Rhinolophus ferrumequinum: one gene and its partners. The protein of the gene in region 2 binds, or shares a complex with, the protein of the main gene of each other region. Links are inferred from orthologs where the notes say so. Each region holds a gene or a part of one and is shown on either strand. Other genes may lie near its edges.

Region 1 (10,039 bases), on a different chromosome or scaffold from region 2:
TGTAAGGAGAGAGGGACCGCTACGTATTTCTTAAAGTATGGCCCAGTGAACCACTTTCATCAGAATCCCTGGCAAGTTGGTTAAAAAATGTAGATTTCTAGGGCCTCCAGAATTTTTAATGCAGATTTTATTTTTTACCACGACCCATATTAAGCGATATGCTTGACATTAAGATTCGATGTTTGTTTTCTAAAACACTATTTTCCATTGTACGCTTCTCTTTCATGTTTTAAACTGCGGGTCTGGACCTAATATATTATGATCCACTCCTGGATTGCAATCCTAAGCTTCAAAAGCATTGGACTAGTTGAATAGAAGGAAGCAGAACTAGAGTTGTGTAATCAGCAAAGAACACTTGAGGCTTTGTGATGTAGGCGATCTAGTAACTCCCTACATTTTCCAAATTCAACAGAATAAATGTCTTATAAGCCAAACCATCCACTTGGCTGGTTTCAGGCGTTAAAAAGTGGTTGCAGGCTTCGGCAGCAAACCTTAAGGGTACCCACTGTCATAGATCCAGCCGGGAAGAGTCCTCTGTAGAAATGACCTACCTCCACACCTTCAGTGTTAACAAAGATGATAACATAAGCCAAGTGTGCCTCAGCTGAGCCCCTTGGCCCGCCCCAGCCACATCCTCTCAGCAAGGGCTTCAAAGCACTGCCGTCCTCCATGTCTCCCCACCCATTCACACCAAACACCCAAAGGGGGTAAAATACTTTAAAACACTATGCAGTGTCCTAACTCAACTGCAATTTCATAAATGCTTATGATTTAGTAGCACTGCACAAGGCCCTCACTGTTTTCTCTGTCATTTTCCTCCTCCTAGGTGTTTCTCTCTTCTCCCCTGCATCTGCCATCCAGCTTCTTCCTGCCCCTCTCTCCTTCCTCCCTCATTGCCTCTCATTCTCTCTCTCCACTTCCACCTGCTGGGAGAGCAGACTGGGATTTAGCGATGTCTCTGACTTCACCCCACTCACAGTCCTTCTTCCTAGGGGAGGATTTCTCTGGGGAAAGCAACATACTCTGGACAGACTTTCTCCAAGGGGAATGACAAAACAAACACCAGATCTAGAGTGGCAATGCGTTCTTAATAACCTGTACCTATTTACCACTGTCCCAAGAAATCACCTCTCTGTTCCTTTCTTCAGGCTGAAATTCTAAGGGAAGGCTCTACTCAAGGCAGAAAGGGGTCTGCAAGAAGAGCAGCTGGGCACTGGGGACAGGAGAGAGGAGAAAAAGCAAAAGTCTGTTGTTACCTGGGCACCTTTCTTGCCGCTGGTGCTACAATATTTTGCTGGTATATTACCCTGGTGAACCTCTCCTATAACAGGCACCTCTTATTCAGCCAGTCAGCACATATTTATTGAGCACCTACTATGCTAGGAATCAGTCTAGAGTCTAGACCTGTAAACAAGACAAGGTCCCTGCCCTCGTGGAACTCCTATCTAATGGGGGAGGCACACAATAATCAAACAAACAAACCGATATATAATGCCAGAGGTTCGTAAGTGCTAAGAAGGAAAACTGAGTAAGGAGTAGCAGGAGGTGGCAAGTTGAGGAGCAGGAGGTGGCAAGTTGCTATTTTATAAGAGGTATTCAGGGAAGGCTCCCTGGAAGCTGACAGCTGGGCAGAGACCTGAAGGAAGTAAAAGAGTGAGCCATGTGGACGGGTAGGAAAAACCTCCTGTTCAAAAGGAGTAACATATGCAAAGGCCCTGGGGAGAGAACTTGGTGAAAGAGTGTAAGGCAGTCAGAACGGGTGCAGTTAAGAAGGGCAGAGAGATGAGACATGGTGAGGGATGGAGGGGGTGGCAATATGGCCATCAACAGCACCACCCACCCTATAGCCCAGTGGCTACTCCAGGCCCTCAGTCCCACCAGACCCAGTTCTGGGCTTGCCTCCCAGCCTGCCCCTCCCTGACACCTACCAAGCTTTTCCCCCATTCCCTTCCCTCCCAAAACCACCCCCCCGCTACAGAGCTGCAACACTCCAGGTCTTTCCCTCACAAGTTCCCAAGAAGACAACCAGTATGTCTAATTTAAAGACTGTCTTTTCTGAGCAGTAAATTGAGTAGGAAAGGTCACATACACATTTAACCACAGCCCTGGAAAGATAGGACATGTACCTAGTAAAGAGCCCAGATGTGAAAGGTCAGTTCTAAGGGGAAAAGTCTGCTGGGTGACAGCAGGCGATCCGGCCTTCTAACTCACAATGCCCGGTTCTGTAAACTGGGGGCCTGGAATCCTTGAAACAACCTTGGCAAGCGGGTATGGAGGTGAGATAATATGAAAAATCATGACCAGAGGTCCTTAATAACAGCTGCTGCCAGCCAGGTCTTTTCCATCTAAAAGTGGGGGTAAATCCCTCTAGCTCCTCAAACAGTTGATATCCACATGCAGGTCATTATATAAAAACAGGTCATTACATGTATGTATATACATTACATGTATGTATACTTTGTAAACATACAGGTCATTAATTCCTTTTACTTTATGGACAAAAAAAAAAAAACTCAGAAAATGTTCCACTGTCCCCCCACCGCACCCCCAAGTCACTGGCAGCCCTAAATGGGGACCTTGTGGCCTCCACCCCGGGAGGCACAAACCCTTGTCTTAGGTTCTCTGAAATAAACCTTAACTAGAACGAATTAGGTCCAAATCATTCATGAACAGCGGTGTTAGCAGGCCCGTGCCCTGAGCACAGGGCATCACAAAACACACTCCGTGAGTCTCAGGAGCTGTCCAGAGGCCCAGAGCCGGGTCACTATGGGGGCCAAGCCCTGCGGCTTTAGGTCAACGCAGCTTCCAACACCAGCAACCCCAGCTTGAAGCTTCCAACTTCAAAGGGCCCCCAGGCGGGAAAGGGTCACTCGGCGGGGAGTCCCTGGCTCCAAAGCCCCTTGAAGTCACACACACACACACACACACACACACACACACACACACACACCCCCTCTCACCACCCTCGCGCGCGCCCGCGGCACAACACGGACTTCCCAACCCCAAACACGCGCGCACCCCCGGGTCGGCTGAGTTCTGTATTTCCTCTTCCTCAAAGCTACTCCTGCCATCTCCGCCGCCCCTCTCCACTCTGATTTTAGGGACCCCCGAGCTTCGCTGCCCCCTTTCTCTGAAGGCGCGCCGGGTGCGCCCCCTCTTTGATGCCGGTATCTTCTATCGAAGCCCCCCACCATTTTTGCCGGTCCCAACCGGGACCTCGGCGTGTCCCGGGAGGCGTGTATTTGCTCACAGTGGCCCCCGGGACTCCCAGCTGCCCCATCCACCCGCTCCAGTCCCTCTCGGCCCTCCCTCCCTCCAGCCCATCACCGCCCCCTCCCAGGAACGCGCTCGCTGGGGGATTCCCTCCCGTCTGCCAGTGCTCGAGAAATGCCGGGAGTCCGAGCCGCCAGTTCCTTCTCCCGCGCAGCCCCCAGTGACTGCAAGCCCCCAATCTCTCACTCCCCGTGGCCCCAAATCCCAGTCGCCGGCAGCGCAGCCCTCCCGCGGCCCCCTCCAGCCGGCCCTGGACGAAACGTCTCTCCGGGTTCCCGGGCCCCAGGCCCCGCTCTCCATCCCCGGGGGCCCCTCCCTCCGCTCCCATTCCCATTCCAGCCCCCCATCCACCTCTGCCCAGACTTCCTCAAATGCCCAGCGCCCCGTCGCGCCCGCAGCCTTCACCCCGCACTACGCCGCGGCCACCCCCGCCCGAGCCGCGGCGCCCCCAGGGAGGAAACAAAAGTGTCTCCGAGGCGACCAGAGTCCCCGGAGCAGGACGCCTCCTCCTTGCCCCAGCCCCATCCCTCCGTCCCCACCCCACCCCCAGGTCTGCCGAGGTCAGCGAGCCGGGGCTCCGCGCCAGCTCAGGAAACTTTACGAACCTGCCCGGGGTCGCAGGACAGCAGCAGTGGCAGCGAAGGTTCCCAGCGAACAGACCTCTGGCGACCCGCGACCATTGAAGGGGGCCCGGAGGCTCTGTCGCCCTGCTCGGGGCCGCGGCGGTGTGGGTGGTCTGACTATCCCGTGCCCATCCTCGCCCGCTAGCGCTTGCCCGAGCACACGCACTTACACTCCGGGTCCGCAGGCTGCTGCTCCGCCGGTTGCCGCTGCTCTCACTTCCTCTTCCTTCCTCCTGCTGGCCAGAGACACGTTTTGCAGCTGCGAGGCATCCAGAGATCAGCCGCGAACTCTCCTCCGGAGCGGACGCTGCGGAGTGGCCGCCGCCGCCCCCGGCACCTGCGCCTGGACAAGCGTGGTTGGCGCGTTCGCCGCCCGCCTGCGCCCTGGGGCCTGCCTGGTACTTTGCCTGGGGCGCGGTAAGGGTGGGGGCGAGTGCCCACGACTTTTTGAAGTCCCCTTACTTAAAAAGAAAATGTCAAACACCGTGGCCGCCTCAGATCTGCCATAAATACTCAGTGTACAGAGCAGGACTTCTCGGATGAGCTCACACGCGGCGTTTTGCAGGCACTAATTAACTCCGTCACCCTCAGAGCGCCACCTTAAGGAGACCGAGAGCGCCTGGCATCTTTTTACGTACCTTCATTTTTGGCAGTTGGTTTGGAACTTTGAGGGGAAACTTCGGTGGGTTGTTTTAAAGCTCCTTTAAGAGGCTGGTGTGTTTGTTTTGACGTTCTACCCCTCTCCTTGGGCAGCATGGCAAAAATAACTACATCATGCTGCCTTCCCCTAACCCTCACGAAGGCATGTACAGGCGACAAGATTTATTCCTGATCAGTTACGCCAGGGCCTCCCTGAATTTGCATAAAACAAGATGTTCCACCCCCAAATTGGTATTTAGAGTACATTATTTAATTCATGCAACCTACCTCAGACATTTTCAAAGCAGAAATCAAACACGTCTTCTCCCAGCATAGCTGCCAAGAGGGAAATGACAGTTGTTGGAAGGTTGCAGGAGAAACACCTGTCCTTTCCAAATTCAGAAATATCTACATTGGCTCTACCAGAAAAGGCAAAGGCAGTTGCTGAGGATTCCATTCAAATTGGCAACCAGGTAAGTTGGGGGCAGGGAGGCCTTAGAATCAAAGTTGGAAGGCAGAGCTCCCCTTTAAATTTCAATCCCCACCCCCAGGAGATTTAAATTGTAGTCCTGTGCGAGCTGTTCATGAGCAGAGATCCAAACAGCTACTGTATACTTGAAATGTGACTAGTCCTGAGGTGTTCAGTAAGTGGAAAATAGACAGGGGACTTAGTGTGAAAAACAGAATGTAAAATAGGTTGTTCATGAGTTTAGTGTTGATGACATCAGCTCAGCAAATGATAAGAGTTTAGATGCAACTGGGTTAACAGTATATATATGCAACTTCAAATAATTTCACTGGTTTATTTTTACGTTTTGGATGTGGCTACTAGAAGAAGTAAGATTACACATATGGCTCTCATTAGTGGCTCACCTTATACTCTAATGAACAGCCCTGATCTGACCCCTTATTATACGTGTAACCTTGAGAGGAAGTATTAGTAGCAGGAATACTTGGGTCCAGATCATTAGAAGCCAATAATAACAAAGCAGGATGACTCCAGGAAAGTAATTTAACTTCTCTGTTTTCTCATCTATAAAAAAATAATGATATAATCATAACAGTCAACAGGGCAACTATCAAATGAGGTAATTTAATAAGCAGTTGGTAAAAGGAGCATTTTCTAATGATGCTCTGAGATGCTGTGGTGATTACTATGAATTTGATCCACCACTTCCTAGCCAAGGCATATAAGACCTTAACTTGAGTGCAGACAGTCTGAGCAGTCAGTAAATATTAGCTGTCATCGTCATCCCAAGAGTAGTAAGGGAACTCTGTCCCCCTCCTTGCACAGCAATGAGGCAAACCCACCTCCCTGTAACTTTTGCTCCCAACTCGGCCCTCTGCAGCCAACACAGAGTAAGTCCCATCCTTCCTCCAAGAGATAACCTTTCAGATTTTTAAAGATACACCCTGAGTTCTAACTAGTCATTCTCTTCTGAGGATTCAACACTCTCAGTTACTCTAATTCCTCCTCATGTGATATGGTTTCAAATGTCTCTCCTCTTAGTCATCTACCCCTTCAAGGACACCTGTCTCTGCCCTTCCAAACATTTTAGTTGTCATATAATTAATTTACTAATTAATATAATCAGTTAGCCCGAGCTCTTGTCAATGCTTAAAAACACTCGATCCAGCCTCAGCTCTGGTCAATTATTTTTTCGAAAACATCTCGCCGTTGATCTCAGTGCAAAGGGAAGACTGTAAACTCTGTGTTATGTTACTGTTAGGCCATATCCATGCCCAAGGATTGGTCTTTGCGACTAAAGCTCCCGGTCCACCTTCTCTAAGGAAGGCTCTTTGGATTTGATTCAGGCATCCAGTGTCTCCCCAAATCCACAGATGAGGTAAGAGCACTGGGTTCCTGGATGACACCCCACTGAGGGGTTCCCTCCACCATGGTAGGGATCCATACTCTTTGCATTCACTGGATCATTCAGTTACTAATAACCTTCTTCACTGTGCAGTTGACAAGCCATTTTTTCTACTGTATTCATAAAGACATCTTAGAAGTGTCAAATGCCTTCGAGAAACCCGCCTTCACCCAGGGTTCAGCTGGTGCTCTTCAGTGCTCACAGTAGAGCAGTGTTGTCATGTGTAAGGGCCCCCTCTCTGACGTTGCTTGTTGGGTATAGATCCCAGCATTGCCATTTACTAACTAGCTGCATTACCCTATGCAGGTGACTTAATTCACGGGCTTAAAACTATAACTACCTGGGAGGGCTAAGCAAGCAAGAAATGAGTTAACACATGTAAAGTTCTTAGAACAGGGTCTGGCACTAGAAGCACTCAATAAATGTTAGCTTAGCTATTATTATCTACTCGGGTCCTCTAATCAATAAGTCATGGTAACGGAGTCCGGAAAAAGAGCATTGTCCCCTCCTTTTCCCCACATCTGTGTTTGTAGCCGCAGGGGATGGAGAGAGCTAATATTACTGCTCTGATTTTATTTCAGCTCCTGGTCAGGGCTGGAGCTATTCAACCACTAGGTCAGGCTGTAGTAGAGAGGAGGGTCATTTGAGGGTCAGAGTCAGAATCCAAGTGCAGCCGTTCACTAGCACTTGCAGTAAGCCCCGGGGAGCGAGGCCCGCCTCATCTACATCGAAAGTGTGAGGGAGGTGGATTCAAGGTGTCCTCTGCAGGACCACCCAGCTCAGATTCAGGATGAGCTGAAGAAAAGGAAGCAGGTGGGGGATTGCTGGCTGGAGAACAAAACTCGTGGAAGCCCCAATTCAAAACTGCTTTCCCCATCTATGTTTACAAGACATCTTTGCCTTGTTGATGGATGGACAGGTGTTTGGGGGAACTTCCCAGATTTTAATACCTCGATCCTGTGGTCCCCATGTCTTTATCCTCCTTCTATGTACGGAATCCAAGGTAGGAGGGTGAGTGGAAGGCCATCAAAATGGCACCATGAGACCCCAAACTGCAAAAATGGCCTGTTGTTTTTTAATCAATGATGATTCATGTTGGTCACCTCTTTCCTTTCTAAGTGTTCACAGATATTCATTTTTAATTCATTAAAAAGAAAGAACAGTTATTGGACTCCCAATGGGCCCTGTGCATTTAATAATGCATTTAGTAATTTGCTTCAGAATTCTGCCCCCGTCAGCCTCAACTTCCTTGATCTATTACAGCTCGAAGAATCTGTTCTTTTTCCCTGTCTTAGAATCAGGCTCACGTTGGCTTGACTCCAGACTTCAGACAGCTCTCGGGGCAGAACGTGGCCTTCACAAAGTTGCTGTACCAGAGATAACAAGGTCTGGGGCAGTCCCCAGACATCAAAGTAACAAGGGGGTCTGCTGTACCAGGGCACTGCTTCTGTCAATCATTCATTAATTCAGTGTGCACAGAATGCCTGAAATGTGAGCTACTGCGAGAGAAAGGGAGGCTACAATGATAAGTATGAGAAACACGGGGCGCCCCCTCTTGGCACTTGTCTCCTAGTTAGGGAGACAGACTTCTGTTGAGTACCCTAACACCAGGAAGTTGCAGTGCCCTAGGGGCTAACATCATCTGTATAAGCCCCCCGAGGAAGCTGCACTTGAGTTGAGACCTCAAGTGAGCATGCGTGTGTGTGTCAGCCAGGACAAAGAGGGGAAAGGATGTGGCTTGGGTGATGGCGAAGGGTTCCAGGCCAAAAAAGCAGTTTGTATGAAGGTCTGTACAAATCATAGTGTAGGAGAAACCTTAAAAGGTCAATTTGGTTGAAGTGTGAGAATATCAAAATTGAATCTAAGAGCAGTGGGCAGAAGTGAACATTTGGAAGCCTTTGAGAGTCATATCATGGAATTTGGATATACTAAGGATAATAGGAAGGCACTGAAACTTATTTTGGTTTTTGTTTTACTTTGGTTTGTTTTCCAAGTGAAATAGTTTAAGCAAGAGATTGTCACGGTCACTTTCGTCTTTTTTTTTCTTTTTTGTTTTAAAGGTTCATCCTACTAAATACGGAATGGATTAAAGGGGAGACAAAAATGCACGTGGGAAGTACAAACAAGAAGTCACTGCAGTAAGCCAAAGCTAGAGAGGATAGGAGCCTATCATGCATTAACCGAGGGGGCTCGGGAGAACTGGAGAAACTGAAATGTTACAAAGGAGGCAGAGGGGCCTAGAATCGAAGGTTTGCTCATCCTCCGTAGTCGAGGAGGCTCACAAACAAGCCATTTGCTTTCACCTTGCCGCCTTGGCCTCACCAAACACTGAACCTGATGGGCCTTCTTGCAGTCTTGTGTCCAGTGGGATACCACCTCCAACTCTTGCCCCCAGGTCAAGGAATGAAAGCCTTGACTCCACTCTTATTTGGCCAATGATCATTTCTGGGACACCACTGCTCTGAGTTCATCTCCAACATGCTCCCATTTCCTAGCCATTATACTATTGTTCAGGACATCCACGCCAAAATGGAAACTTTACTCTGTACCAGTCCCCTTCTGCTCTAGTCATCCCACCCTACTTTTAAACCAAAAACATCTCTATGGACTGCAACCGTATGTACTCCCCTGTTTGGATTTTGGTTTGGTAGGGCATTTATTAAGACTTCTCAGATCTATATCCACAGTTAACCACCCACAGCCCAAAGACCAAGTCAAAGGAATAGCACTGATGAACCACTCAAGGAATCCCTACAATAGTACAGTAAAAATGGCAAGAGAATTGACCCCGGAATCTCATCAGACCAAAACTGACAAAGTATTTAAATGTCCAGGCTTGGGAGTCTTACAGACATGGAAAGAAATCTCCCCTCTACTCCTTAATAGCCACGGGACCTGAACAAATTATTGTATTTTTTTTCTGAGCCTATGAAATGAGGATAATTGGATGATGATACTTCTCTCAAACAATATCCAGCACATAGTAAATACTCAATAAATGGAGCCAATGTGCATGTTAACCAGTATGCACTTGTAATGGTTATGGATTTTTTCCAGGATAGGTGGAAAGATCAATATTCTTTACTTTAAAAAAAAAAAAAAAGGGAAAAAAAAACTTTCACAAAATACAGGTCTATTGTTAAAAAAAAAATAAGTGTAAAATAGTAAATGAAAAGTAAAAGTCTTCCCATTCCTAACCCCAGTCCTAGTTCCTAGAGGTTAACACACATCATCATTTCTGTTTTTAATTCTTCCAGTGATTAATGCCACGGTTTTAATTATCAACACTATTATCTCTTGGTTTATCAGCTTCATACAGTACCTATTAACTCCCTTCTATAAAAGATTTCTAAAACTTTGGCTTACTTACTCCTATCTCCCAATTCTTTTGTTAGTTCTTTGATTATAACATCACATTCTGTGTTTTTTTTTTAATTAATGGACCTTGTGATATTATCATTCATATCACTTCACTTTTCTCTCATTCTTTCTATTCCCACTGGTGTCTGTACTGCCCTCCCTGAGAACCCCCTGGCTCTGTCTTCCAGATCACTAATTCAGACTTGTCCATTCTTCCCATTTATTTAGGTTTTTTGTTTGTTTGTTTTTATTTTTTATCGAAGTTTAAAT
Region 2 (10,534 bases):
AGGAGGAAATGGGCGAAACCCACAGCACACCTGAGTGCATTCACAAAGAGCTACAAGGCTGGTTTCAGTTTTTACACCAGCAGTTGAGAGTCTACAAAGTTAATTGCTTTTAGACTGGTTGAGCCTAGCACAGCTAAATACCTGAAAAGCTAACAGTGAAAGCAAATCGTCCTCCAAACGACCTTTTATCACACTGTAATAATACACATCATAAATCCCAACAAACAATAATGAATTATTTTGCAAAGAATCCATCATCCACATGTTCTAGATCTGTTCTTGATAGAAATAGCTTGTTCGGGAGCAAACTTAAAATAAATGTTCCAATACTCAGAAGACTAATCTGAATAGTTATCACGAATGTTTGCTTAAAATCTAGACAAAAACTTTTATACCCTCAGATCTTTAAATAGAACACATTAAAGAAGGAGAGAAAGAAAGAATAAAGGAAAAGAAAATAAGAAAGGAAAGAGTTTTCCATGGCTGTGGGGATGAACACTAGGCACTAAGTCCTTCACACGTGGATACTAATGGACCAGAAGCTTAAAGAAGCAAGCCTCTGGGTCCTCTCACTTGATAACCCAGATAACACACATAGGTCATTTAAGCCCACCTAATGCTAGAGGTTGAACTAACAATGCTATGTTTAAGAACTAAAGAAAGCCCAGACAGATAGCATTTCAGTCCCTGTAGAAAAATCTAGGCTATGTGAGGACAGCCAATAGTAGCACCAAGATAACATAAGGCAGTAGAGGATTCAATGCAACTGGATTCATTTTCAATCTTTCATATTTGACTTTGTGCGCTTAAAAACATGATTCTGAAAAAGGGGGCCACCAGTTTAACCTCATGGCCAAAAGGGTTCGTGCAATCAAAAAGGTAAGAACGCCTGGTATTCGGCAATTCACTTATCTCTTTAGGCACTCTTTAGGTGCTAGCTTCACCGCCCACAATTCACAGTGAGATCAAAGCGCTACTCTCAGAGTAGCTCTGAGTCATTAAAATGCTTCAAAATGACCATCACATGGCTTTCTTCATCCAGACACACAGAAGTGACGACAATCCTCCCCCCAAAAGCCCAACAAGCCAATTTTCCCAATTACATTGAAACAAGCCCATCTATTCTATGCTTCCTTGTTTCTCAGCAGCACATGTCACATTTTTACTTGCAAAGGTAAAGACAGACTGAAGGCTCTCACTTTGTCCATCTAACAGAACAAAGGAAACCTCATATGGAAGTGAACGAGATGCTAAAACCTCATCTTGAAGCGAATGAGATGCTAAAACCTAATAGAGAAAAACCAGCTTTAAATCCTCACAGAAAAAGTTAGGCTAGTGCTTTAGGATGTCACCTCAACACGAAGGACAAGCAGTTACTACAGGAAGGCCCTATACCTGGTAGCATATCTCTTGAGTGACAGGGGTACAAAACCATAACCTTCTGGTTCATTGGATTCAAGGATAAGAGGATAAGTAATAATATAAGGGATCGCACAATGTAGGAATTGTGAGGGAGAGGTATGAAGGTGTGAGGTCTGGTGAATACCAAATCTGAAGGTGGCAAAGGGGAGGGATTTGAGCCCTAAGGGAAATTCTGCATTGTGGGATGCAAAGGTGGGAGGGCAATCTGAACAGGGACAAGCAGAAGGGGGCAAAGTCCCAAAGGAGGGACTCTCCGTGGCACATTGCGCAAGAGCCAGAAGGGCAGTGTCTGCACTGGAGGGTTAATGAAAGAAGCAGTGAGAGCGATAACGTCAGTGAAGATATGTTGAATTGGATTATGGGAAACTTGAAAGTTGGGCTCAGTTTAGACTTTACCCTGTAGGCCAAGGAAGGCTTCTAAGCAGAGAGGTGATATGAGTAACAATGTGTTTTAGGAATAAACGATGGTGATTTATTGTCAGATAATCTGTCCTAAGAGTGGGTCCTTCCCTCAAGTACAGATTAATCAGAATCTATTGTGTCCAGTGACACGAGTGTCAAAAATTATATCTTGGGGCAATTTTGCTACCACCTATGCCCTGGAAATGCAATTCAAATACTTTCCTTGACTGATGGAAACTAACAAGGTAACCTGAATCCAGCACAGGGTAAAAAAGAGAGAACGTCTCATACTTGCTCCTATGACTGTGGCACTAAAAACCACAGTTGTAGGATATGATTGCATTAACTACACCAAAGGCCTAATCGTTTTGCAAACAGCTTTTATCCTGGTAAGCAAAATGAGAATTGAGAACCATTTTGTAAGTAGTAATGAACACTTAGGCACTGCTCAATATGATTTAATTTAGTAGTTAGTACTGGATAATACTCAAAATGGTTTATTTTAGACCATTTCACTTCCGTAACTACTGACTACTTACTAACTGGCACTTGACTAAGCGTCCCTTTCTGAAGCTTCATGAGCAAATCATGACAGGGTGGTCTGGGGCAGGAGAAACACCACCTAACGATTTCTGAGTTGTAGCCACAGGAGAGTGCGAGGATTTGTACTAATCGCACTTTAAAGGAAAGAAAAAAAAATCAAATACGTTTTGGGAATAGGGGAAAAACAAGGAATAGTATGGACATGTATTATCACACACACACACACACACACACACACAAAAAGGATCACAATCTAAGAACAATATAGTAAACATGAGAGGGTTTGTTGTTGCTTTGGCTACAGAGTTGAACCGCATCTGGAGATAGTAAGCGGATCTCTGAAATCACTTCGCCATCTGAAAGTACTAACTAGGTTCAGGGATCTGTCCTAGGCACCATTGAGGAAGGAAAAATGGGGGCGCGGAAGGGAGTGAAGTAAACGATGAGATTACAAACAGGCCAAATGAATGAACCTGAGAGGAAGCGATAAAATTCTCAACGCACACATCTGTGTTTCTACTGGAGCGTCGCTCCTAATCGCCCCTACGGCAGAGCTTCCCCACGAGACCTGAGCAACCTCTCTCCTTAATGGAAAGTCGAAGGACCACGGTTTCCACCTGGGTCAAAACCCCGCCTGTTTCGGATCCAAACCCACACAGCAGCAACCCCTCCCTCCGCGCGCCGTGGGAGCCCTCCCGCACCGCTGCTACGAATGCCAGGTGCCTAGCGCGGGATCTGTCACGGTTTCCCTAATAAAGTGTCCTCATCTGATTTTGCGACGAAACTCGGGGTTCAGAAGGCTGTCGTTAACCCTCTCCATACACTCCGTTAGGGGATGAGCCCCGGCCTCGGGGGGCACCACCCCCGTTCCATGTCACAAAATGCCTGTCTCTTCCATCACATCCACACAACTTGAGTTTCCCATTCACTTCACAACTGTTACCCTCCAACTCCTCACTTTGGGGCTTCAGAGAGAACCGAAGAAGAGGGAGGCAGAAAGCCCTTGGACAGCGAGCAGCACTCAGCGGTCCTCCGCGGGTTACAAACTCCTGAATGAAACCGCACGGTGGGGAGGAGGGGCGCGAGCACCGAAGCTGGGGCCCCTAAAGGAGTAACCCGCGAGCGCCCTCGCCTTTGACGTTTCCACTATGCCAGGCGCTTGAGCTTTGGGTTCGGGAACAGGATGATCCGTCCCGGAGCCCAGATGCACTTTTAGTCACTCGGCTTCCCAAAGCCCGGAGTGACTTCCCCTGCGGGTCTCCTGCTCGGGGAGAGGACTCCGATTCCCCACCCGCCCCCGGACTGCGCCGCGGGAGTGGAGTGCTGACTGCGCCCCCCGGGGCCGCAGGAGCCGGACCCCAGTCCCGGGCGGCGCGCACACCCAGTGCCTGGAATCCGCCGCCCAACTTCGTGCCAGACAGGGCCGCTCCCGCGCACTTGGCGATCACTCACCAACTCCGTACTTCTGCCGCTTGGTCGGGATCCAGCGGGCCATGGCGGCGACCTCGCCCCTCGGCGGCTGTGGCTGCGGCGGCTACAGCTCCTGGGGTGCCGGCCACCGCCGCCGCGCGGCGCCCCTGCGCGCCCCGGGCTCCTCCGCCATGTTCCGGTAAACTTCCGCGACCCCACGGATCGGCTCCGCGCTGCCTGTGCCGCCCGCGCCCGCCCGGGACTCGCTCCGGCTCCGGCCCGGCCCGTGGTCACCTGCTGGGCCGGGCGGCGGCGCCGCCCCGGCCCCTCCCGCCCGCCGCGCCCTCCGCCCGCCTCCGCGCCAGGACCGGCCTCTCCCGCCCGCTCTCCCCGGCCCAGGCCAGCTTGTTCTCCGCCTGGCCGACTTCCCGGAGCAGCTTCCCAGTGCAGACTGGGGTCTGGGCTTTACTTTTGGTATTTTGCGTTTCCCCCGCCTTCCCCTCCGGGATGCAACCCTCCAGGCTGGTTCCGTGGGGGCGGGTTCCCCGGCGCCGGCGTCTGGAGGGCTGCGCTTGGGACGCTGGGCCCCCCCAGGCCGGCCGGCCGGGCCCTGGGTGGGCGAGGAGCGCGGGCTGCGTCCCCACTGCGCGCGCCGGGGCCCCGGGGGCACCGCAATGTACCAGTAAGAGCTGCTTTTCGCCCCCGGGACACCTCCAGTGCCCGGCACTCGGCGGCCCTCAGTAAATAGTTGTTGAATGAATGAGCAGTTGACGACTGCGTCCACCCCCTAGAGCTTTAACTGACACCACGCGAGCCGGAAGCCGGACTCCAGGACAGACTTGATCTCCTGTGGCCACCGTTTATAGCCTTCAAAGCAGGAACATGTGTGTCTTCTGGTAAATAGACAACAGATACAAGGCAGACGGGCTCCTCGGACGTATTAAATGGTTTCCTAGGAGAGCCTCGGGGGAACTCAGACCCTCATGCTCAAGGGAAAAGCCCGCCCCAATGCCTCCCTTTTCCAGCAGACCAACCGCGCAAAGACCATCCCTACGGAGAAGGGGACCTGGCACATCCAAGTCTTCTGGTTCACTGACTGTATTGTTTCAACGAAGAGCCAAACGCACGGATGCTCTTTTGAAGTGCCCTAGGCTCCTGTTGTTGCCCTCTAAAACTGCCCTCCTGGAACTCACTTCCTCCTGGAGAGACCTCAAGAATGAAGCGTGGATGGTGGGGAGGTCTTTAATTCACACATGGAAGTAAAAATCCGAGTAAATGACCACCTGGTTTATATTCACCGTCTGAGAAAATGACATTTGAGAGAAACTTTGTCCCTGCAGTCTGCGATGGCTTTCTTGCCTATTTGGAACATGAAAAGAAAGGAAGATAAACAGTAAAACTTGATTGAAGAATTCATGCATTTTGCAAAGTCAGATCTGAAGTTTTTAAAAAGAGGTCCTGTTCGCGGTGGCTAACTTCTAGGTTTACTTTCTACTTCATCCGCAAATAGGTATTTACCCATAAAGTGTCATAATAAGTTAAGAAATCTGTCACTTTAAACCTAACATTTAGAAGTAATACAGGGAAGGGACATGAGGATTATTTTCTCTGCCAATGGTAACAGAAGGAATTCCACCATCTCCCCGGAAATTTCTCTCTTCCTCTGCCATCATGATTAACCTAACTCCCCAGGTTAGGTAATTTCTTCTTTCCACACATATTTATGAAGGACCTATTATATGTCAAGCATTGTTTTAAGAATGGATCACAGCAATGAATAAAGTATAATCCCTCTCATCATAGAGTTTCCAGTCTAGAAGAAGTGATGAAGGCAATAAGCAAATGAATGTATGCCCAAAGAGGCTATGTCTGTGGAGAAAAATCCACAGCAAGGAGGATGGGAGAGGTTCTGTTCTATAGTGATTGGGTTAGCAAGGCATGTGGGATGGCGTTGATCTGGTGAGGTGACAATGAAATCCAGACAGGAAGGAAGTAAGGATTCCAGAGAAAGTATTCTGGACTCAGGAAGAACAAATGCAAAGGCCCAGAGCATGTTTGACAGGTTCCAAAAACATCAAGGAATACCAGGTGGTGACAGGTGAGTAAGGAGCAGAGTGTGGGAGGAAACGTAGTCCCAGCCACATGGGAAGCATAGTAAGAACTTGGAAAGCAGAGTAAGAACTTTTCCCTGTTACTGTGAGCGGTTTGGAGTGTGTTGAGCCAACCAAGGACATGATCTAATTTGCCTGCTGTGGGAGAAGCAGAGTGTAAAGACACAAGGGAAGATGCGAAAAGACCAGAAGGATGGAAGGCAATTTAAGGAGTTGGGGCAAGAAATGAAGGTAGTTGGGTCCAGGAGTGTAGGTGGAGAGGTGGGAAAGAGGTTGGGTTCTTGAAATATATTGAAGGTAGAACCAAGAGAAAGGCAGTGTGGACAGGGGAAATGACTGAGGCTTCTGGACCCCTCAGGGTACTTTCATCAGCATATGTTTTTGGAAAGTTTGCCCCCCTAAATAATGCTTTTCTTTAAAAAAAAAAAAAAAGAGCCTCACTATATACATTTCAGGCCCCACAAACCTTGGATCTTGTCCCTGGGTCAAGGCACAAGATAGGTCGAAGATGACCCTAAGATTTGAGGCTTGAGCTACTGGAACATAGAGTTGCCTTTTTTTTGGTCATCTGTGATGTCTAATTCATCTTTATCCTTTATATCCAAGTTGTTCTGTACTAAAGTTTTCTTTTGATATTTCTTTAGGACTCACTTTTTCATACCTTCCTCGGTAACTCCTTCATGTACAATGCTAGGAACTGAAGCATTTTGGGATGGGGCTTCACAAAGTTTCTTCCATCCTCCGTGTTCAAGACGATTGGATGTCCAGTGTTCTCTAACCATGGATATATTGTAAACTTAATACACATCAGAGTGTTCAATGCTCATCCAGTGGAACTGGATTTCTACCAAAATGATTTCAGCTACCTCTCCCCACCCTTGCCTTATAAGATTTTTGCAAAACTTGAGGTTTGTATTTAAGCCCTGGCTATTTCAAGTTTGACAATAATTGTGTTAAGAGGGCTGGAGGAAAATGGAAAATTTAAATTACAGCTTTGAGTATGTTTATTCTGTTTCCTCTGAAGACTGAAGTCCACCCACTTTGTTATATCAGATGGTTAAATCTCAATTGGAAAGGCCATTTAAATCATAAAAGCAGTGCTATTCAAAGTCTTTTATTAAAATGAGGCTTAAAATTAGAGAGTCAACCAGATGGGTAGGTGGAATAACAGCTTGATTCCCAGAAATATCCTTTTCCTTTTCCTCTGATTTCTTTTCAGAAGAAACATTAAGCGTATTTACAACCAGAGATATTCGACTCAAAACCCACACAAATGCAAACATACTTAGGCATACACCAACACGAGTGTTCTGTTTGAAGCGGCGCCTTGGAGAAAGCAGTGAGGATAAATGAATGTGAAGGGTAGTTTGCCATGCATATTGTGCCTATCCCTTATAATGACTGAGACTAGATGGATGTCAACAAAACTGCCAAGCACATCACTTCCTCCATTGATTACCAGGTTGACTTCGCCAAGTCTGGCTGACTGGATGGCTTCTACGAGAGACGCTGTGGATTCAGTGAAAGAGCATCTTTTGTTTTTCTAGATAGAGGAGACTCACTCTTTGATCCTACATATGAGATATGAGAGAGTGTAGTTGCTAGACTTAGCAAAAAAAAAAAAGGAAAAGGAATGTCATTGACTCGAAGCACCACTTTGCAATCTTCTGAAGGCAAATTCTTTGGGACAGGGTGATTCTCTGTAAGTTAGGAGTGGGGTGATTCATTGTAATTTGGGAGCCCTGAGGTAAATGGACAAAGGAGCTGATCTCTACAGCCCTAGAAACCTCTTTTTTATATACGTCACAAACTCACATCACTGTAGACTCTCTGCCCCGCACCCCATGACTTGAGGGGTGAGCACCTTTGAGTCTGTCCTTAGCTCTGCCACGTGGCTTTGTATGTCCAGTTTCTCTGATGAATGGGGAGAGGATGGTCAGCATTCCAAAGCTATTCCTGTCCTCATTCCCTGTGAGATTCATGCTTGGTAAGCACTTTCACTCTTTTCATGATCACAGCAAAAAGCTTTCAGTTTTGTTTCTAGAATGCTCTTTGCTGCAAATATCTAAATGTGCTCCAATATCACCTTTGGGAGAAGTTGATGACAAGCAATTCGAAGTCATTAGATGGATGAAAACTAGATGGATAGTCAGGTGGGAAGGAATGAAAACTCCTTAATTTTTTAAAAGTATGTTTATATATCTTGAAAAATTCCTATATGTATTGAAAAATTATATCTTCATAAAACTGTTTAAAACAAGAGATGAAAACTAAGAATCAATGTGGAAACATTGTGATGTAAGCATAAGTAAAAATAATTAAATGGTTTATGCCATGATATGATTATAACTATATAAATTACACATTTACATGGAAAATGACTGTAAAAGAACATGAAAAAAATGGAAAAATTTATTAAACTTCTTTAAAACAACGTAAAAGAGAATAAACTGGTTCTTGAGATACCTGGACTATGTAGAAAAGCAGGAAGTCAAATGCCTAAATTTGACCTTTACCTGGGACAGGAGTGAAGTTTCGTCCTGGAGTCCCTTCACGACAGTGACACACCGTTACTATGTTGTTTAGATGACTGTCATATTCAGTAGATTTTTCTTGCTATTACTTTGAGGTCAGTTAAGAAACCAACATTTGATCGAGAATTTTTGTTTAATACCAGACAGATTTTTCCATAGCACCAGCTGTAGTGTAACAATAATAACTAACTTTTATGGCCTGTAATTTGGGCCTGTGCCTGGCACTATTCTAAATCCACTTGTTTGATCCCGACACAGCCTAATGAGGTAAACAGAACTATTGTCATCCTCACCTTACAAATGTGGAAATTGTGGCTCAGGACATGTTAAGATATTGCCCACACAATTAGTTGGTGGCAGAACTAAATTCAAACCTTGGGCAGACTGGTTCCAGGATCCATGCCCTAAACCAGGGGTCAGTGAACTTTGACTATAATGGGCCCATATCTATATTAGACTTTAGACTTTACAACCATGTTGTCTCTTACAACCACTCAGCTCTGCAATGGTGGCAGGAACACAGCCATAGACAATACATAAACAAAAGAGTGTGGCTATGTTCCAATAAAACTATCTGTAGACATGAAATCTGAATTTCATGTAATTTTCATAGGTCATGAAATATTCTTTTAATTTTTTAAATCATGTTTTCAATCATCAAAAAATCATTACCTTGCAGGCTGTACAAAAAACAGGTGGTGGGCAGGATTTGGCCTGAGGGCCATAGTTCACCAACCCCTGCTCTAATCTGTAACTGCCACCTTTTGAGGTGAGTGGGAAGGCTGGGGACCTCCAGGAGAAGGAGCGAGGTAATAAAGGAGGCACTGATCTGGAAGTCCGTAGCATAAGCGTTTAAGAGAAGCTCCTCGAACAGGAGTCATCGGAAGAGAAGGACTCCAAGGACCAAAGGTTGCCTAGAAATCAGCGGATGGAGCACTTTTGAGAACAGTGAGTATCTGTTTTGGGAAATTGTCTACTGGCCTAGCCCTTCTGGACTCTATTCTGAATGATAGGAACTATAAATAAAAACCTTAACTAAACCTCTGTAACAAGTAGCACACAAGCATTTGCTTTCGTACCCATCAAACAAGGAAACTTCTAAAGGGGGACATGACATGCTCATTACGGCATTATTTATAGGAGCCAAGATGTAGAAACAACCCAAGTGTTCATCCATACATGAATGGATAAAGAAGATGTAATGTGATATATATATATATATACATATATATATATATATATATATGGCACACACACACACACACCCCCCATGGAATATTATCTAGCCATGAAAAGGAAGGAAATCCTGCCATTTGCAACAACATGGATGGACCTTGAGGGCATGATGCCAAGTAAAATAAGTCGTAACAAGTCAGACAGAGAAAGACAAATACTGTATGATCTCACTTATATGTGGAATCTAAAACGCCAAACTCATAGAAATGGAGAGTAGAATGGTGGTTGCCAGGGGCTGGGGGAGGGGGAGCGAGGGTCAGTGAGGAGGTGTTGGCCAAAGGGTACAAAACTAAAGCAATCTTTTCTTGGGTAGTCTTCAATCTCCAGGTCTGGCTTTATCCCAGGATTGTTTGGGGTCATATTTGGGCAGTATTCCCGAACTCACTCACTTCCAGATAACAATCACCTGTCCCAGCTGGATCAGAAGGACAGTGCCTTGGGGTTCCTTACAGAGTTTCTGAATCATGTTACTGTAGCATACTGTTCTTATTTAAACAAGCCCTTCCCTCCTGTAAAATTATGCCTCAGGGTTTGTTTCTCAGAACCCAGACCACAGAGCAAAAAATCTCGAGGAGGAGAAATAAATTCACTTATGTTCCTTCTGGAGGCAAGCTCCTTTTAAAAATGATCTGACTATTAAGTCTGTCCTTGGTAACTCTGGGCTGGGCCCACACTTCGAGTGCCAAGTGAGTGCTGGCCCTGGGAGTTGGTTTCTCCTATGATTTACCAAAAAGGCCTCTCTTGACTTCAGTCTTCCTATTTGTAAAATTGTGGTTGTAATTCATTGTCTGGGTACAAATATTAGAATTGTTCACAACAGAGTATTATTGGAAGACAGGAGGCTCCTGTTCACCTAGGATGTGAACAACAGGAAAA
Region 3 (10,546 bases), on a different chromosome or scaffold from region 2:
GGATGAGGCGAGGGTCAGGGTCAGTGTTGGAAATGGCTTCAGAAGCTCTGCAAATCTGTTTATTTGTTTATTTGGAGAGGTGATATGAAGAGGCTCAAAGAGGCTGCAGCCGGCTGCAGCTGGGCTGGGAGGAGGAAGCTGGGGGAGACATGAGATCACTGTAGGGCTGGGACCAGGCCAAGGGCTGAGTTTCTCTCTTCCCCTTCTCCCCATCAGCCGGGACACAACCCAGAGAGCCTAGTTCCCATCCTTAAAAAAAAAAACCCATGCTGGTGAACTCCCTACCTCTTACCATTCTCCACCCTTCAGCCCCTGCACTGCACTAGGTAGGGTAAGAGCCAGAAAGAGTTGCCTCTACCCACTAGAGGGTGGAGAGGAGGAGGAAACAAGAAACAAGACAGTTGTAGCTGGGAAAGCAGTTAGGGGATGGGACCCTTTCACCAAATCCCAGTTCCCTTCCTTCTCTCACCATTCCAGTACTTGGGGTGCTCCAAAAAGCATGAGCCCCTGGACCGGAAAGCTCTGGCAGGGGGAGCTAAGGAGGCTGCTCCCCTCCCCCACCAGGCAGCAGAGAGGAAGGCTGAACACTTGCTTCCTCCTCCCTTCCCCCTAGCAGCTCAGCAGTCCCGGGGCCCCATGAAAGGCCTGTGAAGTGGCACTTCCTTTGCCTTTGCTCATTTCGCACAAGGCTGTACACAAGTGCCATCCTCCCAATTCTGCCTCCCCCACCTGTAAATACCCACAGAGACCCAGGATCACCGTGTCCCTTCAGACCGGCCCCAGGCCCGCGGGGGTTTCCAGAAGGGAAAAAAACATCAGGGAGGAAACTCCGGCATCTATTTTCCACTGTCAGTGGGGCACAGCTGGAGCAGGGCACAGGGTACTCTCCCATCTTGCTGTCCCCTGGCAAAATCCCCAACACTCTCTGCTCTCATCTCTCAACCTGTAACAATCCTTGGGCTTTGGGGCAAGGGGCCCCAGTTCCTGTCCCTGGACAGATACTTAGAGACTACTCAGGCCTGTCAGCTCAAGGCTGGCATGAGACAGGAGGGCCCGGAGTGGAGGCCACTGCTATGGGGAGCCTCTGGGGGAAGGGGAGTCAGAACTATCGGTATTTTGCACGCTCTGTGTAGGCACTGATAGGCAACTCCTTCATGTTGAAGCTGAGCCACGAGGGACAAAGTTGGTCAGAGTTATACAGAGATTTGGGAGCAAATCCAGGACAAGGACTTGGTTCTCCTAACCTCCAGCCTGAGGTTACTTCTACAAAGCAGAGAAGGTGAGGATTGTTCCTCAGGCCTAGGAATGGGCCCACCATCACTCTGGCCTTATTCAGGATGATTCTACCATGATTTATCCCTTCAGGAAATGGACCCAAGGGGTCAGATTGATGTCTGAGACCTTTTTGCTTCTAAGTTCTCAGGCTCTCATGCCTAGAGCATACTGGGACATCTATGATGTAGAACTGACATTACTGGACAGACAGCCATCCTAGCCCTGTCCTAGCTGAGGAGCTCCTCCTTTAGCTTCTAGCTCCTGGGGAGATGCCCTCCCCCGCATGACAGGAGGACAAAAGAGGAAGCTGGATCCTGGACAGGAAAACCAATCTGTTCTGGCCTAGACTTTGTCTTTGGTTTCCCTCCTCACAGATCTCTACAAGCCTCACCACTAATGAATCTACACTGCTTATGGAGGGAGGGGTCTTCAGTCTGGGCCCTGGGGCCTATCCATCCTCATTCTAGTATCTTCTCAACCATCTCACTACAGCCACAACCTCTCATACCTTCCCGCTCATGACCCCCTAAAAGGTCATACTACCCACCTTATTTGCCCTAACATCTTGCCAGAAATAACTCTCCAGATCCTAGATTCCCAACCAGGATTTGTGACAATCTCACATCAGCCACTTCTTTTCATGTCAGGACTTTGGCTTTATTTCTTTAGCCAAGAACTCAATAGCAGCCTCCTAGGTTGCAGGCACCCCCCGCCCCTGATATTTTCCCATTTAGACCTCTCCTACCCTGGTCATATTTTTTCTAGCAATGATTTTCTTGCAATTAGCTCAAACCTCCAGTGGGACCAGATTGTGCCCGGGAGAACCCATCTCATCCGTCCTATCTTCACCCCCAGAGACCTGTGGGTTGCTCAGTTATGCAGAATCCTAAAATAAGTACCCATCGGCAAGGCGGGAGTCAGGACTCCTGGGTGGTTTTTTTACTGAGCCGTGATGCTGGGAGGGGGTCCTGCAGGCACATCCTTCCCTGAGCAGGATTTAATGTAGGTCCCCGAGATTTCCTCTCAGGGCCAAACCCCTTATACCTCCCAGAAATGAGAGTAGAAGACACTGGTGTGTGGACGAAGAGACAGTTCATGGGAGAGGGCAGCTGTGAATGGAAGAGGACAGAATGGGGAACAGGAATAGCCCTTAAATCTAGCTGTGCTTGGGAATCCCAAAAGAGTAGCACTTGCTGCCCTCCCCCCCTTTTTTTCCTAGTGGAGGGAAATGAATAGAGTAGACTGGAGGAGACAGAGAGAAGCAAGATCTCACAACATGCATCTCAAAGGCTTGAGGAAAGAGCCCTAGAAAGGGCTTACAGAGCCAGTTGGACTAAAGTTAGACTCAGGAGAAATTCCTGATAAGAGAGGGAGTAGGATCTTAGGTAAGAGGGGGAATATTAAGGAATCCTGAAGGCAGAGGGCTCAGCAGACTGCAGAGGATTACTGTCACCAAAGCCCTGATGCAGCCAGGGCACGTAGGTACCCAGCCTGGGCAGGCCCCGGAGGGCAGCAAGAAGGGCAGAGGGGGCAGATACCTTTGCTTCCCGCTCCTGTTCTTTTCCTGAATTGGCACTAAAACAGGTAAGAATGAAGTTAGAACAGCTCTAGTCTTCTCTCCAGAACCCTGCCTTTGCTTCCTCCCTTTCCTTCTGTCACACCTAGCAAACTTGGTCCCATTCTCCCCACCAGGCGGTGCTGGAACCAGTAAGCACTGGAGTCAGGGGCCTTCGGGCTGTCCTCTGGCCTCCAGGCCTGGCCTCTTGATCAAGCACCCAACGGTCTGAGTGATTTTGATTTCCCACGGCCTCTCTCAACAGTCTTATTACTGTGCCACTCTACCCTGACCACCACAGACTGCTTCCTCCTACCCTACCCACAACCGCACTCACTGCAGGTTCCCTTCATTCTGCTGGCTTCCCCTGCTCTGGGCCCTCTCAAGGCTGAGAGCAGTTATTTTGTCTCCAAGAGATAAAAATGTCGACACACAAGACGCACGCACGTACACATACAGAGAGGTTTTCTAGCCCTTTAATCATCTCTATTACTGGGAGGTTGCAGCCTGCCTCTCTGAGCTGGGGAGGTTTGAAAAGGCTCTGAAACTCACCAAAGATCCTGACGCCAAAGCTGGGGATAAGTGGCTGAAAGGAAAGGAGACAGAGGGATCAAAAGAATGAAGCGAGATGGAAGAAGCAAGAGGGTAGATACATCTGTGGGAGACAGAAGCTAAGCAAAGAAGGGCGTGGGGGTAGGCTGCAGGGGACAGAGACGGACAGAAGGGCAGGGTAGGTGAGAGGTCAGGGCCTTGGCATGACTGTGTGTTTGGGGGAAAAGAAACTGAAAAAGATTCGAGAAGTGGGTGATGGAGGGTTTGTGGGTAGAGTCTGAAGAAGGAATGGAAGAAGACAAAGTGAGAATGTATAGAATTTAGAGACTGCCAATGAGGGGTGCGGGCCGGCGAGAGGTCAACTAGGAGACGGCTCCTAATCATTTCCCAAGGCCAGAACCCCTGCTGTCTCCCACAAGCCCTATTAGTCTCTCCATCTCCTGAAAACAGTGCTGCTCTCAGTGATGCCATCTTGTCAGGGACTATCAGTACCTCTGAATGAGAGTCCTTCCAACTCTAGTCACAGGACAAGACCAGGCCCTTTCTCTTCCTCAGTTTACCCACAAAAGAGCAAGGCCAGGCACCCCTCAGCCAGGCACAGCAGGTATTTGCTCACCAAATACCTGTTGCTTGGTTCCATGGATGGAGAGGTTGGGCCTCAGCAAAAAGACGCACACAGAGAAAGATTGGGGTCAGCGGGGCTCCCGCGCCCTCCTGAGTGCAGAGGACCCTTGGGCTGCAGCCTGCGAGCAGGTTCTGGGTTGGTACCGATCTTCCAGTGAGGAAGCTCGTCCTCTGCAGGCTAGGGCGAGAGGCCAGACACCGCCCCCCTCTCAACCTCACAAATGTCACAACTGCCAGACCAGTGGGAGCGCCATCTCTAGCCCAGCCCTCCCACCCCACTCACTGCAGAATAGCTCCCCAACTTCTGAGGGCACCCCACCTCTGAGTCCCACATCCCAACTCTAAACCCTTCCACTTCAGAGACTTTTCTCTCTGGGCGCGAGACCTCCGATCTCAGGGGCCCCCCGCGGCTCCAGGGAGCCGGTACAGCCGCCCACGGTACAGGAACCCACCCTCCAGGAGCTGCCGCCGGCTCGCAGTGGCTCGGTCCCCGCCCCGCCCGCCCGCCCGCCCGGCCGCGCCCGCCCAACTTGCAGTGAGCCCAGAACCTCCCGCCCGCGGCCTCCCGCAAGCAAACTTCCTGGGCCGGCGCCCGTGCCCAGTCCCGGACCGGCCGGGCTCCCTTCCCCGGGACCCCCAGCCCGCCGGCCCGCGCCGGGCCTCACCTGGAGCCCTCCCCGCCGCGGGGGAGCTGGGGGCGGCGGCAGCAGCAGGCGGCTCGAGAAGGAAGTGAGAGCGGGAGGCCGGAGGAAGTGGGGGGGGCGGTCCCGGCGACCGGGGCGGAGCGCGGGGGCGGGCCGGGGCGGGGCCGCACCAGGAAGTCCGTGGGGCCGGTCCCCCCACCCTCTGTCTCTTCTCCACCCCCAGCCTCGCCCCCGGCCCGGTCCTGGGCTCCCTGACCCCAGCCCTCTCCCTCCGAGGCTCTTAACGTCAGTCCTCCCAAGGTCAGTCCTCCCAGTCTCCTCCTTGCCACCCCCAGCCCGGTAGAGGCCCTAGCCTAGGTTCTAAGCTTTTGTCCCCCTCCCCGTTTTTGCCCCCACCAAGCCCTGCGGGAAGATGCTGAGAACAGGCGCCCCTAAGTCTTGATGTCTTCAAGCCCAGGAGTCGAGCGATATCCAAGGCTCGGCGTTGGTCAGAATGGGTCAGGCTGGGGCAGTCCCCACCCCTGCCCGGAACCCCGAGGGAGTGCGGGGTGGTGGTGATTCAGCAGTGGGAAGGCCCCAGACCCCTGGGGAGAGTGCGGAGACTGGGGGAAGGGGAGCTGGCGTCAGCACCCGGGGAAAGACAAGATCAGCAGAGGCGCAGGCGGAGCCGCGGGCCCCAAAAAACAGGATGTCGCGTCGTCGTTCCGCACCCGGCCACTCCGCGCGCTTGTGCTCTGGGGAGGGGGCGGGGCGGACAGAGGACCTTGGGCTCCCTTCGCCCCCTCTTCTCGCCCGAACGCGCAACTGCTGGGGCAGAAGGGCCGCACCCAGGCCTGAGATCCTGCAGCGGCCCTGGGGACAGGCGGGTGGACAGACTCGTGGGCGCCCTCTGGTGCTTCTGTTCCCCGGCGTTGCTCTTGGAGCTCTGACTTGAGAATGAGCATCCTCAGTTCAGCACAAACTTTCTGAGCGTCTACCACGTGCAGAGCCCAGTGCTAGGCGCTGTGCCGGAAAACTGAGAGGCGCTTAAGACGGGCTCCCTGTCTCCAAGAGGCTTTCCAGATAAAGAGGAAGAACAATGAAAATAGCGTAACCTTTCTGAGCCTTAATTCTATCTTTGGTAAAATAGAATAACCTCTTTTTCATCCTGTAGTTGTGAAGATAACATGACAATGGATGTAAAAGACCTGCTGTCAATGCCTGGCTCAAAGTAAACACAAAACAAATGCCTTTAAAAAATAATCATACTAATACAAGAATGAGTTCCCTAAACACAATGTGCCTGCCCTCATCTTTGAGTCTTTACCCATTCTGTTCCCTCTGCCTGATTTCTTTCCTGTATGGAATGCTAGGGGAAAAAATAAACTTATTTTTTCACGATATGACCCTAATGGACTATACTACCTGTCTGGCTGCCATCTTCGCCAGTCCAACAAGCACACACATACTACTTCTATCATGAACTTGAGAGTCTCTCCTAGAACTATCCAGTGGAAATATGTGAGCCAAATATGTAGTTTAAAATTTTCTAGTGATGATACTTTTTTAAAAAGTCAAAAAAAGGTAAGATTAATTTTAATAATACATTTTACTTAGCCCAATTTATCCAGAATATTATCATTCAACATGTAATCAATATAAAATTATTGATTATAAAAATGAATAGGATATCTTACATTCTTTTTTTTTTTGGTACTAAGTCTTTGAAATCTGGTGTATGTTTTACACTTACAGTACATCTGAATTTTGTTTAGACCCCTTTCAAGTGCTCAGTAGTACATGTAGCTAGTGGGTATGACTTCACACAGTGAAGTCAGAGTCTCCGTCACATACAGGCTGGTAAGTGACTGAGTAGATGAATTTACTCTCTATGATCCTTCTGGGGAGGCTTCCCCTGACCCCTCAGGCAGAGTTTGGGTCTCTCTTCTCCTTCCCCATAGTACTTGGGACAAACCTCCTCTCTGTGGAGGAGAGGAGAGCTGGAAACACAAGGGGAAAATCTGATTCCTCTTCATACCCTACTGGGAGTACATGGCTAGTACTTGGCATTTGATGGTGAAGAAAGGTTTGTGAATTTCCATAAAAGACAAGGTTTCATGGAGGACCACACACTACAACAGCTTTCATGAAGCCATTAAAAATCGTGTCCCAGAACAAAGGTTTTTGAGTTGTGTTCCTAGAGTTCCCTTTCCAGGATTTGAGGGCAGGAAAATAGTGGGGCTCCCTTTCCTTTAACCAGAGTTGGTTAACTTTTATCTGATTTATATACTACCGTTCTGGATGAAGAAGTCATTAAAAAATTTTTTTTCTGTAACAATACTTGAATATCAGTTTTAGATTCATAGTGGTAAAAGTAAGGTACACGGAAAAGTAGGGTGCAGTAGACCAAAAGGCTGGATTGGCAGCTTGGGGTTAGACTTGGGCATGCCTGGCCCTGGTTTAGCTTGCTTAGGTGGGAGAACCTGATTTGGCCTTGAGAACTTCATGGTCTGGTGCGATATGGGACTGCTGTATATGAAGCTACTGGAAGACAAGACCTGAGGTCTAATCTTGGCTCAGGCAGACTGGCTAATGAGACTTTGGGCTAGGCCTCACCCTTCTCTGGGTCTTAGATTCCTCCACTGGAAAACAAGGGTTTGAACCAGATGATATCTTTGAGCTCTGACCTTCTATGATACACTCTTCAAAACAATAATTAAGTAATTAAGGTTTATGCATGTAGCATATTGCTCATAGTTTTTTCATACCATTTAGGTTGTCTTGTTTTGTGCTCTGGTTAATTGTATCTGTGCCTAATGTCTGTATCCCCCACTGCCTAAGTCCTTTGAGGTTGTGTCTGATTCATCTCTGTGTCCACCCACTGGGCCTGGCATAGGCAGGCCTGAGTGCACATTTGCCTTCAGTATACATACATCTGTGGAATTAAATTGCCTTAATAAAGCACTAATATGTGTAAAACCATCAGAAGCTAGGTGACTTGGAATCACTTTTGTGGCTCAGATATAGGAAGGGCTGATAGGCCAGAGGAGAGGGAGACAGGTAGATAAGTAGGGCTGTCTGCAAAGGCTTCTTGGAGAAGGAGGATGCTGAGCTGAAGAGGGTAAGAAGAAGGTACAATCCCAGATGGGCTATTTCTTCTTCCTACTCTTTGACTTGCTTTCCTTGAATAGGTGAGTTCTTGGCAGGTGGTGTAGGTTTGTGTTTACAAGCATCTGAGAGACAAGGACACTAAGCTGGGACATTTATAAGTGAGACAGCATATGACAGCATACTTGGTGAGGGTAGGATAGAAAGATCACAGACAGGTTCTGGAGCCAGACAGTCCAGGATTCAAATCCTGGTTGTGCGACTTATATTGTGAACTTTGACAAGTCACATGACCTCTCTCATTCATTCCTTGAACACATATTTATTGAAAACCTTTTCTGGGCCAGGTATAGTATCATATCAATGATGCAATGGTGAAAACATAGACAAGCTCTTATCCTGATGCAACTAGCAAGGGAGGTAGATCTTAAACAGGTTAATCAATCATACAAGCGTACAGAGTGCTGTGAGAGCATATAACAGAGCCATTTAGTTTCCTTTTAAAATGGGAATGACAATACTGTGTGCTTTGTGGGATTGTGAGGATTAAATGAAATAATGCAAGTGGAGCATCTAGCAGGTTGCCCGCGGTACAACAAATAAACATTAAGTAATTTCTCTATATGCCTGTAGTGGTCTTAGCTTCCCCCCCTCCTCGCCCCCGACCAATTCCTCCCTCTTTCTCAAGGTCAAAAATGCTAAAGCTGATTGATTGGGTCCCCCTCAAAGGGCAGGATGGAGACGGAAAGGAAGAGGAGAAGGGTCCTGAACTGGTCTCACCGGCTAGGGTGGCTTCCAAATGGGTCTTCCCAGCCTGTCCTCACTGAGCTCCAGCTCAGTGACCAGTGGCCCACAAGCATTTTCCACTCAGTCACAGTCCCAGCCTCTTCGGGCTAACCCTAAATCTGAGTTTTCCTTTGTCTCTGACGTGGCTCCAGGGATGCAACCTTTTTGAGACTCCTCTTGATTCTTTGTTCTTTGCTCTCTCAGCCTGCCTGAGGAGTAGAAGTAGGAGTCTTCCCCTCATTGCTACCCCCAAAGACAGCCTGATGTCCCATTTTGTGACATGGGACAATGATGGGCAAGACAGAAGATAGCAGAGAGAACATGGGAAGTGACAAATGAAACTAAGTTCTAGAGTAGCATCCTATGATCCATTGTTCCGATTCCCTCTGAGGAACTAACTGGGTGGGGGAAAGGAGGACGAAGGGCATGCCTGTTCTCCAGGAGGGTCCCTTCTCCCAGGCAGGCAGAACGATACTTGTCCTGTTTGCCTCCAGGACATCTTTGCATCTTTGAGGTTCTCCGAACTGGATGGTACCTAGGTCACCTGGATAATCCTCTCTGGGAAATTCCTCCTTCAGCCCTGGGGTGTTCAGGAGCAACTTAGTTTGCCCAGAGTCACACAGCAGAACTGGATGTGAATCTAGGTAGTCTAATTCCAGAACCCCTCACCCTTACCCATCCATGTGCCTCTGCATCGCCTCTGACTGCTTTAGGCAGTTACTTGTCCCTCTTCCGTGCTTCCTCACCCGACCCTGTACCAATTTCTCTCAAGACATTATCAACAAGTACTAGTTGCGCGTGCTCTCTCTCTCTTTCTTTCTCTCTCCATATATATATTATATATTTTGGATCCATTGAGTAGCTGTTCGTAACAACCCAGTTCATACCCTCATACCCTCAAAGAGCTCAGTTTTCATATCCCTGAAAACTTTGAGGGTATGAACTGGGTTGTTAGGAACCAGCTACTCAATGGATGTTAAATGAATGAGTGAACAATGGCAGTAAGATTCTAAAACTGATTCTGGCAGGGGAGATGATTCTCTGTGAAACTAGGTTGGGAAGAGTTGTTAGAAGCCAAGATCTCTCTTTCCTCATTCCCTACGCAGTCAAGACCCTGGGCAGCTTCTCAGTGACGGCTGTATTTTCCATGTTTGGACACCAGGGAGCTCCACTGATAACACAGTCCAAACTCAGGGATTCCTAAACTTTTCTGAGCCAGAGATTTAAGACTCTGTTACACTTCTGCTGAAGATTCTCTCACTTTCCAAATGAAAGCTATTGGTAACCAGAAGCCCTGTGGTGTAGAAGAATGACAGCTAGACTGCAGTGCAGAACACACATCATTCATTGATTCACTCAATCATTTATTCACTTTTATTAAGTACCGGGTATGTGCTGGGTAAAGTCCCAGCCTGGGAGAATATAAAGATGAATGAAATGCAGTCCGTGATGAGTTTAAGGCTAATGGGGAAGATAGATACTTATTAGATAATCACAATCCAGTTACATGAGTTCTCTAAGGTATAGCAGGAGACCGGAGAGACAGGGCAGGTCAGGGAAAGTGCCAAAGGAAGGAAGGGGTGACTTTTGAGCTGGACTTTTTTTTTTTAAACTAATCATAACTTTTGGTTGATGCTAGGCTGTCACCATTGGTCAAGGTATGGGTGCTTTTATTTCACTGGAGCTGAGAGTTGAAGGATGGAGAGTAAATCCCAAAGGAGAAAGAGAGCTTGAAGTGGTTGCCACTTCATTTCCTCAGCTTCAGTTTCCTCCTCGGTAAAATTAGTATAGCATCCAATCTAGTAGAGCTCTTGTGAGGGAGGAGATGAGATAATAGATATGAAAACTTTTGCAAATTGTGGAATAGAGGCATAAGAATTCTTCATCCAATTTGATTTAATCAACACCTGCAGACTATCTATTAGGAGCAAAGCCCTCAGAGTGATTCAAGAGACATACACCTGGCACATGGTAAAGGCTTCGTATATAGGATTAAAAATGATAAAGATGAAAAATGAAAAGC

The links.
Region 1: the proteins of DOCK5 (region 2) and ELMO1 are in contact, whole or in part, in a cryo-EM structure (PDB 8JHK), measured with the Homo sapiens proteins. The link is inferred for Rhinolophus ferrumequinum from reciprocal best matches to the Homo sapiens genes DOCK5 and ELMO1. Residues at the interface, in NP_079216.4 of Homo sapiens: Met1, Ala2, Arg3, Trp4, Val14, Ala15, Ile16, Tyr17, Asn18, Ser22, Gln23, Gln30, Ile31, Gly32, Asp33, Thr34, Glu39, Tyr41, Gly43, Trp44, Arg46, Tyr48, Lys56, Ile58, Pro60, Glu61, Thr62, Tyr63, His65, Leu66; in NP_001193409.1 of Homo sapiens: Ile7, Val8, Lys9, Ala11, Tyr18, Pro19, Leu21, Glu23, Glu36, Asp39, Gly40, Ser42, Asn71, Gly72, Gln392, Asp393, Leu400, Glu401, Lys468, Arg531, Glu535, Leu536, Lys539, Leu547, Gln550, Gln551, Asn554, Arg555, Asn582, Thr688.
Region 3: the proteins of DOCK5 (region 2) and RHOG are in contact, whole or in part, in a cryo-EM structure (PDB 8XM7), measured with the Homo sapiens proteins. The link is inferred for Rhinolophus ferrumequinum from reciprocal best matches to the Homo sapiens genes DOCK5 and RHOG. Residues at the interface, in NP_079216.4 of Homo sapiens: Val232, Phe345, Asn393, His394, Lys395, Gly396, Trp400; in NP_001656.2 of Homo sapiens: Ala121, Pro123, Leu126, Arg127, Arg128, Lys130.

Annotation. Positions count from the first base shown.
Region 1 is NC_046303.1:7,347,528-7,357,566, reverse strand, and holds the start of ELMO1 (engulfment and cell motility protein 1), read right to left. Parts: upstream 4,196-10,039; 5' UTR 4,067-4,195; exon of another isoform or gene 3,879-4,066; intron 1-3,878. UniProt on the Homo sapiens protein: Involved in cytoskeletal rearrangements required for phagocytosis of apoptotic cells and cell motility. Acts in association with DOCK1 and CRK. Was initially proposed to be required in complex with DOCK1 to activate Rac Rho small GTPases.
Region 2 is NC_046301.1:41,910,834-41,921,367, forward strand, and holds the start of DOCK5 (dedicator of cytokinesis protein 5), read right to left. Parts: upstream 4,087-10,534; 5' UTR 3,863-4,086; coding exon 3,820-3,862; intron 1-3,819. UniProt on the Homo sapiens protein: Guanine nucleotide exchange factor (GEF) for Rho and Rac. GEF proteins activate small GTPases by exchanging bound GDP for free GTP. Along with DOCK1, mediates CRK/CRKL regulation of epithelial and endothelial cell spreading and migration on type IV collagen.
Region 3 is NC_046294.1:47,342,039-47,352,584, reverse strand, and holds the start of RHOG (rho-related GTP-binding protein RhoG), read right to left. Parts: upstream 4,816-10,546; 5' UTR 4,672-4,815; intron 4,153-4,671; exon of another isoform or gene 4,006-4,152; intron 1-4,005.